3 linked regions of the Neurospora crassa OR74A genome follow. The protein of the gene in region 3 interacts with the protein of the main gene of each other region in a biochemical or structural test. Links are inferred from orthologs where the notes say so. Each region holds a gene or a part of one and is shown on either strand. Other genes may lie near its edges.

Evidence for each region.
Region 1: the proteins of NCU02587 (region 3) and NCU01831 are reported together in a solved structure, tested with the Saccharomyces cerevisiae proteins (2 studies listed by BioGRID, with this or other methods). The link is inferred for Neurospora crassa OR74A from reciprocal best matches to the Saccharomyces cerevisiae genes TFB3 and SSL1.
Region 2: the proteins of NCU02587 (region 3) and NCU01625 are reported together in a solved structure, tested with the Saccharomyces cerevisiae proteins (2 studies listed by BioGRID, with this or other methods). The link is inferred for Neurospora crassa OR74A from reciprocal best matches to the Saccharomyces cerevisiae genes TFB3 and RAD3.

What each region holds. Positions count from the first base shown.
Region 1 is NC_026502.1:2,258,523-2,262,763, reverse strand, and holds NCU01831 (RNA polymerase TFIIH complex subunit Ssl1), read right to left. Parts: upstream 2,869-4,241; 5' UTR 2,559-2,868; coding exon 2,029-2,558; intron 1,962-2,028; coding exon 1,082-1,961; 3' UTR 381-1,081; downstream 1-380. UniProt on the Saccharomyces cerevisiae protein: Component of the general transcription and DNA repair factor IIH (TFIIH) core complex, which is involved in general and transcription-coupled nucleotide excision repair (NER) of damaged DNA and, when complexed to TFIIK, in RNA transcription by RNA polymerase II.
Region 2 is NC_026502.1:2,932,035-2,936,436, forward strand, and holds the start of NCU01625 (DNA repair helicase RAD3), read left to right. Parts: upstream 1-1,569; 5' UTR 1,570-2,089; coding exon 2,090-2,106; intron 2,107-2,186; coding exon 2,187-2,227; intron 2,228-2,286; coding exon 2,287-2,316; intron 2,317-2,379; coding exon 2,380-2,882; intron 2,883-2,958; coding exon 2,959-4,402. UniProt on the Saccharomyces cerevisiae protein: ATP-dependent 5'-3' DNA helicase.
Region 3 is NC_026501.1:2,825,137-2,828,573, forward strand, and holds NCU02587 (RNA polymerase II transcription factor B subunit 3), read right to left. Parts: upstream 2,169-3,437; coding exon 1,080-2,168; 3' UTR 558-1,079; downstream 1-557. Other genes in the region: NCU02588 (nuclear movement protein nudC, variant 1), read left to right, coding at 3,062-3,074, 3,169-3,380. UniProt on the Saccharomyces cerevisiae protein: Acts as a component of the general transcription and DNA repair factor IIH (TFIIH or factor B), which is essential for both basal and activated transcription, and is involved in nucleotide excision repair (NER) of damaged DNA.

The sequences.
Region 1 (4,241 bases), on a different chromosome or scaffold from region 3:
CATGGCATCTTGCAGGCGCACAGTACTTGTTTGTGGTTTCGATATGGCTTCAAACCGAGAAGTAGAGCATGAAAGTAGCTTTGGCATAGTTATGCAAATCATGTGATGATTTTGACACGTGCTTACATAGTACTTTGTCATTCTGAAATCAGCTATGTGAAATTGTAGGTAATGAGCGAATTCACGGTGGTGTATTAGCTTCGAATGAAAACGAGGGGTTGAAACATTTTGTTGACCTGTTCATAAATCGCCAGTCATGATCGCCCAACAAGTTCCTTTCGCATTCTGCTCTTCACTCGTTTTTCACCACGCACTCCTACCTACTTGCATATAATTTGTCCGATTTGTTCAAGGGCAGGATTTTTCCTTTATCGGAACATCACCGGAACCGTGTAGACATATGAAGATTAGCTATTTTAGTACGCTACTTGATGATGCTGGTATGGTCTCAAAATCTCACATTGCCGTATCACTCCACATCTATGATTCGTTGCGTGCCCGTCCTCTCTTTCCCCTCGTCACAAGGGACTCTACCGATACGCAAAGAGTCTTCTTGATCATTCTTCCATAACCATATCCGTCTCCCATCTCCTTCACAGATGCGCCACACCCAACGAATCGTCTTCTTGAATTCATAGGACCATTTCACATCTGTTGGATCCCGTCATTTCTTTAGCCCTTTCGCTAGTATCCCTTTGCACTGCCTTGTTGGTAAAGAGCATGAAGAAGCCATGACCCCGTCGTCTCTAGTTATTCGGCTGGTGTCCCTTACAGCTTTGGTTTTGGGAGTTCCACTTTGGACTTTCTTCTTAGCCAAGTCGTCTGGGTATATTTTGATCGTGATGCCGTGTATATTTTCGTGTTCTTTGCAGCGCCAACCCCTCCATGTAACAGATATGTTCGCCATACCCTTAAAACTGCTCTGTTTCGGGTCATCGTATCGTTTTCGTTCACGATACCATACTATCGATGCTCTTAACCAGAGTGGCCGGTTCGGTTCCGCCCGAAGAATCTGAAACGTTCAAGCGGAGCGGCTAATTGTTGTCCTCCATCTGCCGCCATTTGTAGCATGCTCCTCACTCTAGGAATCCATCACCATGGGTGTAGGGCCACCGTCTGGTACTGCTACTGCCGTATCCTTCTCCACATCCCTCGTATCGCTCTGACACCCAGGACAATTATGAATAGTCTCGTGGGCAAAGACATCACAGTCTATGCAAAAATGATTTCCGCATACCTGGCAAGCATACCGCCCGCTTTCGCTGACACCCTTGAGTTCCGGTTTTGGATTTTTCTGCTCGCCGTCCTGTTGTTTCCCGCTACCTTTAGCTCCGGCTCTCCCTCCTAACACAGCTGGCGCTGCCGCCACTGAATCCCTTGGCCTAGCAGGAAAGGGTGTCAGGCACGAGTAGCACGCCGTCGACTTATACGCCTGAGACCACGGAACCTCCACAAACACCTTGAGCGGGAACAGATGATGGTACGACCTCGCCAAGTGCGTGCTCTGGATGAGCGTCAGCTTGCAGATCGGACAGTCGATCGGCAGCCGGCACACTTTGATTCCGCAGCGCGGACAGGTGTACCCCTCGCGCGTGGGCTTCGCGTGGCAGGCGCAGAAGCTGACATGGTCTTTCGGAGCAAGCGTGCGGCTGGGAAAGCCCATCATGAGCAGGCTGGCGGTGTTTTGCTCGGGCGTGCGGGTGACGGGCGGAGTGGTGGCGGCGAAGAAGAGCTCCTTGAGGTGCACCTCGTCTACGGCGACGCTGTAGTTGCCGTCGTGGTTGTTCGTCCGCTTGCAAAGCTCGCTGCAGATGGCGACTTGGCCGGCGAGGCCAACGACCGAGACGCGGATGCGGTCGGCTACGAGGTCGTTGATGGTGTCGTGTATGTCGCCCGGATCGATTGAGACGAGGGCACCGTAGATTATCAGTATTTCGCGCGTGGCATGTGACGGCGTTTGACTGTACAAAAACATGAAGCGGTTAGCGAATGACCTCTGTCACGGAGGGGGTGGGCCGTAGCGCTGACTATAGAGCACCTCGGCACATTTGAAGTGCATTCTGTAAACTCGGATTTCCTTGGGGGTCTTGTTGCTCGCTCCATTGCATCAACTTTTCGATGTGCTCGGCCGGATTCCCGCTCAGGTCGCTTATTCGCACAGCAATTCCATCGCGCATTCCCACGATGCCTAGCTGACTGATGGGATTCTGCTCGAAATACTCGCGTACGAAGCCAATGGCGTTATTTAGGACGACTCGGTAACGGTTTGGTAGCAGATCTTTGTCGGCCATGGCGAAACTCATGTCGAGCACAAGCATCAGATGGCGGATAATTCCACGCTGAAGAGGTGTCGTGTCGCGCAGAAGGCGACGCCGCTTCTCGGCCTCCCGAATCTCTGCGATGGAGAGGCCGCTGTCCGCTGTTTCCAAGACGGTATCCCAGGAGCGCTTAACATCTTCCCATGACGCCTTGGTTTGCTTGCTGCGCCCGTCCGCTGTCCTCTTTCCATGCCTCTTGAGCTCATCGTCGGAGGCGTACTCGCCGTCCGAGTCAGCCATGTTTGCGTATGTTTGTCGGGATAGTTTGACGGATAGTAGCTGGCGCTCTTAGTGGGAGAAGCTCGAGGGTCACTTCGAAACGAGTGGAAGGTTCAGAAGTTCGATAATCAGGGCCTTTAGTCGTGTTCGTGTAGACAACTCCCTGGTAGGTGTTGATCGGGAGGCCGGGTACTGGTTGTCGCGCTGAAAAAGTGCCGGAGAGAAATAAGAAAGAATGGAGAAAAGGGGATACGCGACGACGTTGAATGCACAAGCTGAACAAAGGTTCGTGGTGTGTGGTGGAAGCCGGAAATGTTTACTGGACTGCAAGGCTGTTCCCCAAATGCGCGAACTCGTGTATGTAGGCAGCCTCGCAGGAAGAGTGGGGCCTGTGAAATCGAATCAGATCGGTGCTGGGTACCGACATCTCGTTTGTGTAACTACGGGCCTCGAAATTCGACAGCGAAATCTGGTTCCACCACAACTTCAAAGCGAAGGTCAACTCTGATTTGAAGCTTGGTTACGAGTCACGACATTCAAAGGACGTGCATATGTGTCAAGTATATACTACATGATGTGCCCGCTACCCAGAAGGGCCACTGGATTGTCTTGAGGCGATGTAGGGCTATGCCTTCGGGGGCCTGCGACTTTCACATGCTTGTGCCCGGGGTTCACCAGACTGTTGAAGTAATCAAGAACCTCAAAGAGTATGTAGGCATACAAGGCTCAAATAAATCATGGATCGGTCGTCGTCGGTACTGCGGGGGTGCGTGATACTTGTGCGGTCAAATCGCTTGGCAAAATGGGAATCCCACGTGGAAAACGGCCAGCCAGGGAGTCCAACTGTCCGTTCCGGTCCGGATTCCGGGCACGGGCTCTCCCGAATTCTAGAGTCCAGACGACGGAATGGGGTCCACGGCTTTGATGTGTCCATATATCCGTTTCGGTATCGTGGTCCAATGAATCTGCAAGGTCACCAGCGAGACAGACACCGTATGGCGTGAGTCGCATGTTTCGTGATGTGGTGAAACAGGTAAACACCGACCCTTACCTTGAGCGAAACAACTGTCACAGTGCAGTGCACAACTAGCAATACTTACTGGAGATGGGGGAGAGAAGATCGAAGCTAATTACTGCATCGAGTTATGTACATATACTCGATGAAGGAATGCAGTAAGATGCGACCTTAAAGCGGACCGCGTACTTGGCGTGATGTGCCCGACAGAAGCTTCGTAGCGAGGTATTGTAGGATCGTGAAATGCGATGAAAGGTTGCGCCGTGGAGTAGCCTCGCCGTTAGTAGTAAGGCACATGTAGATGTGCCGGCCCCGTGCCGGCCCGTTCCAGCTCTGCGGTTGATCGTGGCTCGCCTGCGACCTACGCGCTGACAGGTGGCCAATAAGAAACGCCAACTGGATTGACGTTACGTCACGGCACCTTCGGCCGAGGTTTCCAAAGATCCCCGCTCACTGGTCAACGGCCAAGACTGACCTGTGCCGCCTCTGACGTAATACCTCAGCCGCTTGTATGGGCGCAATTGATTAACCAACTCGCGATCAGTCGTACGCGGTCGAAATTTTCACACAAAAAGGGCCAGATTGTTCATGGTCCTCCTCGGTCGCTGCGCCCAAGGAATGGTTTATTCGCCTCCAGGTTCTGTATGGGAAAGGGGCAGTATCGTGTACGCCATTTGGCCCCAAACGAT
Region 2 (4,402 bases), on a different chromosome or scaffold from region 3:
CCCCTCAACGAAAAAATTTGAGGTGCACTTTTAATTTTACTAATGTGTTGCCTCCACGGTTGATACGGAGGCACTGCAATTGCCGAAACAATGCCAAACACCAATCGACACCAACTAACCACCTCCATCAGTATCCATCCCTTCCCCCCTTTTCTCTCAAGTGGGTTCCGATCACTAATCATCACCGCCGTGTAGAGGAGGGAAGAGGAGTCAGTTAAAGTTCTGACGGCCACAGCAGCGGCGTCTAAAACAAGTTATAAGTACCAGCCCGGCTACCTACCTCTAGGTAAGGTACCTACTCACCTCTGACAGCCGATTTGATGCAAGTAGGAGGCGTTCGGGGAGTCGATTCAAATCCTCCGTCCTCCCTCCCTCGCCCCGATCTAGACTCAACGGCAGCAAGGGCGCGCCTACCTATCTACCTACATACACCCATCACCACGCACCCACCCTGAGTACCTCTGTGTAGATATGGAAGTAAGTCCGGGGCGAAGGATCGCAACCGCGCGGCGGGGTTTGGGAATCCTTCGGAAGTCTACCTACTTGGAATTGGGAACTTTGCTGCTGCTCCAAACCGGCGGTTAAGTAGTAATGAGCAGACAAGCGCCGCCGCCGCGATTTGATGAGCCCCGTTTTTCTTCCATCGTGACAGTCGCTGCTCGTATTCACTCATGCGCCAACAACCGCCGGTGGTGGCATACGAGAGTCGGGGTATCAAAGTCACCACCCAAAGTGGAATATGTACCTGGCAGTCAGTTGACGTTCCATGAAGAGTGGTGGGTGACTCCCGAGTCGATGTGGGAACTTTGAGCTCTTGGATTCCAACAACTACCTACGGGACAGCCACATAAAGGTTATGCTGAGATACTGCATGTGTGACTGAGAGATATGAAAGTGTTGAGGATCGCCGTGGTACTCCACGGACGGTATTGAAGTGAGAGGTGGAATTAATCTATTTGCTCCCGATCGTTGATTTCAAGCGTCTGAGATGATGAGGTTTCTCCCTTCTTGCAGCTTGTTTTGGCGCTTTCGTTTTCCCGCTACTTTGAAGGACCTGTCTTTCCATCGGTCGTTTTTTTAATCTTCCTTTTGAATAAGACCCATGGACTGATAGATAATCGGCAAGATGGCGATCCTTCGTACTGAGCGCGGAAGTACCAACACTGATAGTTATCGTATAATCCGAATCCGAGGAAATTCCAAGTCCGCCGATTGCTGTAGACTTGAAGCATTGCAATCACTAAGAGAAGACGGACTACCTCTATCAGCGCGGCCTGTGCACCAGTTTTTGAGCATGGAAGCGAGTGTGCGCAAAGGAAATATGAATATAGAGGCTGCTGAGGAAGTGGAAGTGACGATGAAGTTGTGGTGTTCCAGTCGTTTTTGAATGTGAAGGCCACAGTGCAATTGAACTATGAGAAAGACTGTGCGTGTGGGGGGTCCACACTCACTGCAGTCAATCCGGCATCAGCGGGCCGGCAACAAGCGTGCCGGACCGGCAGCAGCTCACCGTAAAAGTATCACCGTACCTGACCTTGTGCCAGATCCGGATTCCCAGAAACAGCACATCATTGATCCATCAAATCCACCGAGATCCTGTCCTGAAGCTGATCGCCACAGGCCACCGCCAGGCAACCTTGGCACGTGCTTTCTCGACTTCACAAATCTATACAACAACAAGCGCAATACAAACAGCCATAATAATAGAGATACGCGGTCTAGGGGAAGACCTGAGGCTGCATACTTGAGACAAGGGAGGAGGCCCCTTTGAATACCGAAGAACAGACGAACGACTGCCCCCGCCAAGACCCAAGATAGAAGCTCCAGCGTGCAGACACATGCCAAAAGTTGACCTCGATTTCACGACTTCTCGCTTCTCACCAAACCAAACATCGAAATAGAACATCAAACGACCATATTAAGCATCAGCCCTGTCGCACTTCTCCATCCGGACACCCGCGTCGATTAGATATTCTGCGACATAGTAAAACCAGCAAGAACATTCATCAACGTTGCTGCTGCCCGCGCAGCCATTCGTAATTCCTTCCCTTTGTCCGTGTATCCAAGGCCGTGATACTACACGCCCACCATGGAGTTCAACATCGAGTAAGAGCCAAATCCGAGATGACGCGTTCGCGTTCTTGGTCTGTAAAAAACCAGATAACTAACTTGCCGGCAAACAACAGCGATCTCCCAGTTCTGTTTCCTTACCCAAGGATATATCCAGGTATGTGAGCTCATCCACATTGGTACACCATCACAAGTGCTGACAGACCGACTACACAGAACAATATGCGTACATGGTGGACTTGAAAAGTGAGCATTCAACAAATAGCTCACACTCATCACACGTCCACTGACCACCACCACTCCCCACAGAAACCCTCGATGCAGGCGGGAACTGTGTCCTGGAAATGCCTTCGGGCACCGGCAAGACCGTCACCCTTTTGTCACTCATCGTCGCCTACCAGCAATACTACCCAGAGCACCGGAAGCTGATCTACTGCTCGCGAACAATGTCCGAAATCGAAAAGGCCCTCGTTGAGCTGAGAGCACTCATGAAGTTCCGAGCCGAGCGGCTGGGGCACGAAGAAGAGTTTCGCGGTCTCGGTCTGACAAGTCGAAAGAACCTGTGTCTGCATCCCTCGGTCAAGCGGGAGAAGAGCGGTGCCATTGTCGACGCGAGGTGTCGCAGCTTGACGGCCGGCTTCGTCAAGGAGAAGAGGGAAAAGGGGGAGAATGTGGAGACGTGCGTCTACCACGACAATCTCGACCTTCTAGAACCGCATAACTTGATCCCTAACGGAATTTGGACACTGGATGGCCTGATGAGGTATGGCGAGGAAAAGAAACAGTGTCCTTATTTCACTGCCAGGAGGATGGTAGGTCTCTTCTCAACACCCCAGGATGCGGATGTAATAGCTCGAGATGCCATACATACTAACAGCTCATATGTAGATGCAACACTGCAACGTCATCATCTACTCCTATCACTACCTCCTAGACCCCAAGATCGCCGAGCGCGTGTCCAAGGATCTATCCAAGGACTGCATCGTCGTCTTTGACGAGGCTCACAACATCGACAACGTCTGCATCGAGTCTCTAAGTACCGACATCACCCAGGACTCACTGATGAGGGCAACCAGGGGTGCTCAGAACTTGGAGGCCAAAATCAGCGAGATGAAGGACTCTGATCAAGAGAAACTTCAGTCCGAGTACGAAAAGCTAGTCGAAGGACTCAAGGGTCTAGATGAAGGGCGACAGGAGGATGCTTTTATGGCTAACCCAACACTACCCGACGATCTGCTCAAGGAGGCTGTCCCCGGCAATATCAGGCGAGCCGAGCACTTCGTTGCCTTCCTCCGGAGATTCATCGAATACCTCAAGACCCGCATGAAGGTCCGCCAGGTCATCTCCGAAACACCACCATCCTTCCTCGCCCACCTGAAAGAATACACCTTCATCGAGAAGAAACCGCTCCGGTTCTGCGCCGAGCGTCTAACCTCGCTAGTACGGACCCTCGAGCTCACCAACATTGAAGACTACCGGCCACTCCAAGAAGTAGCCACCTTTGCAACCCTCGTCGCCACCTACGAAAAGGGCTTCCTACTGATCCTCGAGCCCTACGAATCCGACACGGCCAAGACCCCGAACCCAGTCCTGCACTTCACCTGCCTCGACGCCGCCATCGCCATCAAGCCCGTCTTCGACCGATTCAGCTCCGTCATCATCACCTCCGGTACCATTTCCCCCCTTGAAATGTACCCCAAAATGCTCAACTTCGAAACCGTCGTGCAGGAATCCTACGCCATGACCCTCGCCCGCCGCTCTTTCCTCCCCATGATCGTCACCCGCGGCTCCGACCAGGCCTCCATCTCCACCTCCTTCCAAGTCCGCAACGAGCCCAGCGTCGTGCGCAACTACGGCAATCTCCTGACCGAGTTCGCCCGCATCACGCCCGACGGCATGGTCGTCTTCTTTCCCTCGTACTTGTACATGGAATCCATCATCTCCATGTGGCAAGGCATGGGCATCCTCGACGAAGTGTGGAAGCACAAACTCATTCTGGTCGAAACCCCAGACGCGCAAGAAACCTCGCTAGCGCTCGAGACGTACCGCACCGCCTGTTGCAACGGCCGCGGCGCCATCTTGCTCTGCGTCGCGCGCGGTAAAGTGTCCGAAGGCATCGACTTTGACCACCAGTACGGCCGCACCGTGCTCTGTATTGGCGTGCCCTTCCAGTACACCGAGTCGCGCATCCTCAAGGCCCGCTTGGAGTTCCTGCGCGAAACGTACCGCATCCGCGAAAACGACTTTCTCTCTTTCGACGCCATGCGCCACGCCGCGCAGTGTCTGGGGCGCGTCTTGCGCGGAAAAGACGACTACGGAGTCATGGTGCTGG
Region 3 (3,437 bases):
TCTGGTTTGTTCGGGATGACACGAACCGGCAAGTCACGCATCTAGCGCGGCGTTCCTTTTGCTTTTTGTTTTATTTTCTTTTATTTTGTATTTTTTGAGCTCAGCTCTTTTTTCTCACCCGCCTTCGTTATTCGATTCGGCAATCCTGATCTTTCGGTATTGTTGCCGCGAGTCTTCTGACGGTGCCCCTCCTTAGTCTACCGAAAGGACAGCCAATGTTCGGGTAAGCAGGGCGGTTTGATGCTCGTACCTTCGAAATGGGTGGCAATAAGGCAGTCAAGGATTGACTGTGAAGAGATCAGGCTTTTTTTTCCGCCGTCGAGTGCTTCTTAACGAGCAGGGCCAGATACAAGGCTTAGCAGCGCAGCGCAAGGGGGAGGGGGGAAGAATAGTTGGAATGGAACGCTACATAAAAACGGTGGAATGGGGTCCGGGCATCTCGAGATAAAGGAGTGAAAGAGGTATGGTATGATAAATGGTCATACCATCAAAACTTTCAGGATTGGCTGCCAACACTCTCTCCAGGAATGGCCAGCAAGGGAGGCATACACATTTTTGCAGTAGGGAAGCCTGGAGGCTCTTTTTGTTTGGTAAATCTTAATCTATATATTTTTTTGGGCATTTTTGTGATCAATCGACGCACTCTTATTAGTCTGAATTTCTTTTTCTTCTTCTTTTCTCCATCATCATCGTCGTCCCAATCCCTCACACAAAACGTGGTCTTCAGTGACCTTGATACTCCTTACAAGTAGACAGATGGCTTGATGGGTGGCAAAGAGTAGTGAATGTACTGCAGTTCGCCAAGTTCTGTCTTATGTGGCTGCTGGACTGCGACCATTCGCATAATGAATTTCGAACCCAGAAATCCACAGCAGACCCGAATATTTGCGCCCTCTAAAACCACCGAGTCTGAAGTTGATCTATATGATGCTGGTCCCGCCTCATGTGTGTTCCTAAATCCAGATCCGTCGGAGAGGAAAAAGAAAAATATTCAATCGCTGAGTGAACGCCGTCGCTATGCAACAAAAACACCATTACCGCCAACCAAAAGGCCGGGGCATACCGGTCCAGAACCACTCTCAGTCCAAATCCATCTTATCCGCGTCAACCACAGCGGCGATCCCCGCCGCCATGCTCGTCTCTTGTGACAGCCCAATACCACTGCCGACCTCCTTCTCATCCTCAACAAACACACCCAACCCAGCAAACGCTTCATACAAGGCGCGCGCCGCAAAGTCGTCAAAGCTGTACCCACCAGCAACGTGCTGTCTGTCCAACCGGTACTTCTCCATAAGCGGGTGACTCAAGCCTCCATGTAGCTTGTACCGACTAGGCGCGAAGTCCATGCCTCCAAAGGGGTCGTACGGGCCCTGTGGCGCCGGCGCCTTCGGCTTCTCCTTCAAGCCGCGGATGGACAAACGCTCAACCTCCGACGCGCCCGTGCCCATTCCCGTTGTTGCGATGGCAGGGTTGGAAGCTGTTTCAGCAACCCGATTCACCTGCCCACGCCTCTTTAGCTGTACCTTCGTCGCCGGCTCCGCTGTCATAGCAGTGGTTCCCTTGGCCAGGTTATCCAGCTCCATTTCGCGACTCCTCACCCTCTCTCTTTTCTCCGCCTCCGCCTCCTTGATAGCCTCAATCCTCCTCTGCCTGACAGCATCCCTTTCGGCTGCCAGCCTCACTCTTGAAATCTCATCCGCCTCCCTCCCCGCCTTCTTATTCCGTTCAATATCCGCCCTATGCTCCGCCTCCCATGCCTGCAATTGCGCCTCCGCCTGCCGTCTCCTCTCATCCGTCCCATTGACAAGTTCAAACGTCAAATCTTCCACCATCTGCAAGTAATTATTATAATCCTGGAGCGTCTCAAAGTCGTCCTCGACTTGGTTGAACACCGCCGCCACGCGACGGCGGATGTCGACCTCGCGCTCGACGGCCAAGTCGCCGAAAAAAGCCGAGCGGAAGCCCTTGCGACGGAGCGTTTTGTTGCAGCCGGCGTGCGGACATTGATTGGGTCCGTCGTTGAAGAGTCGGTTGGCACAGTTGAGACACATGGAGTGGTAGCATTCGGGGTTGAAGACGAAGACGATGTCGGGGTTGAGGTACTTGCGCGATTTGCAGACGGGGCACATTTCGTCTTCGAAGCCGAGGGGGTCGAGAGGGCGCGCCATGGTGGGTGGTTTCTTTTTTTTTTGGGGGGGGGGGGGGGGGGGGGGGGGTTGTTTTGATAATTTCGCTTCGAGGAGACGGGGATCGATGTGCTGAAGTGGGATTTCCAAAGGTTAAATGATGGCCAAGAGAAATGTATGCTGAATTATAGCGAGGAGTGGGCGTTTCCCTTCGAAGGGACAGTAGTCCGTATCTGAGAACTCGGGACGTCTCTTGATGTGTCGGTGAGTGAGTGGCGATCGCGGCCCAAATCTTCTTTTATATCTGTTTGGTGATCGTGATTTGGCGACGAGGACTTGTACTCGTCTTGTTAGGTGATGAAATGTTGTTCTAAAATGCCAGCTCGGCTAGGCAGAAATTCCGGGTCACGCAGTCATGTATCAACGGTGGATAGGGAAGGTGATGAAAATCAACCAAGTGGAAGTCTGGGTGAAACCCGAGTGAGATTGACGATGTGGTGAAAGAGGGACTGATAAGAGTTATTATGCTTGGGCTGAATAATCCTTGTTTCCACTTGGCCCCCAACCGCGCCAGCGCTCCAATGGACGCTACCCTGGCGGTGCAGGGTGGGGCTTCCCAGATCATTCACAGCACGGCACTCTGCCGCGCTCATCTGGCAGCTCTGTCTCAGGGGACTGGACGCGGGCAAGCGTGGGGTGAGCAGGGGCTACCAGGGCAGTGACAGCAGCCGCTCGCGGGCAGCTCCTAGGATTGGGATTGGGCGGCCGCAGCCGTTCCATGCGGGTTACCTGCCCCTCCAGAAATTCGGTCATCGCGTTCAGGCGCGTTCCATCGTCTTCTACTTACATTACCGCACATTGCACCACTGCACCACTGCACCAAGCTGCCGTCGTTGCCCAATATCTACACCGAATTCAACAATACCACCTTCAACATGGCTGACAAAGGTGCGTTTTAGAGCTCAACTCCTCTTGCTCCCAAGACCAGAAAGTCCATCCGCCATCAACAGGTCCCACTAGTCAACTGACCAAACAATGTCAGACGTAACAGAGCTCACCCCCGCCGAGGAGGCCGCTGCCCGCGCCAAGGAACAAGCCGAGCAGGAGGCTCTCCCCTACAAGTGGACTCAGACGATTGGCGACGTCGACATCACCATCCTCGTCCCTGGTAACCTAAAGGGCAAAGATATGGTGGTTGAGATAAAGAAGCAGTCTCTTACGGCTGGTATTAAGGGTCAAGAGCCCGTCATCAAGGTAACCAACCTACTTGCCCACATATCTACAAATCACAACCCTTGCAACTTTCCAACG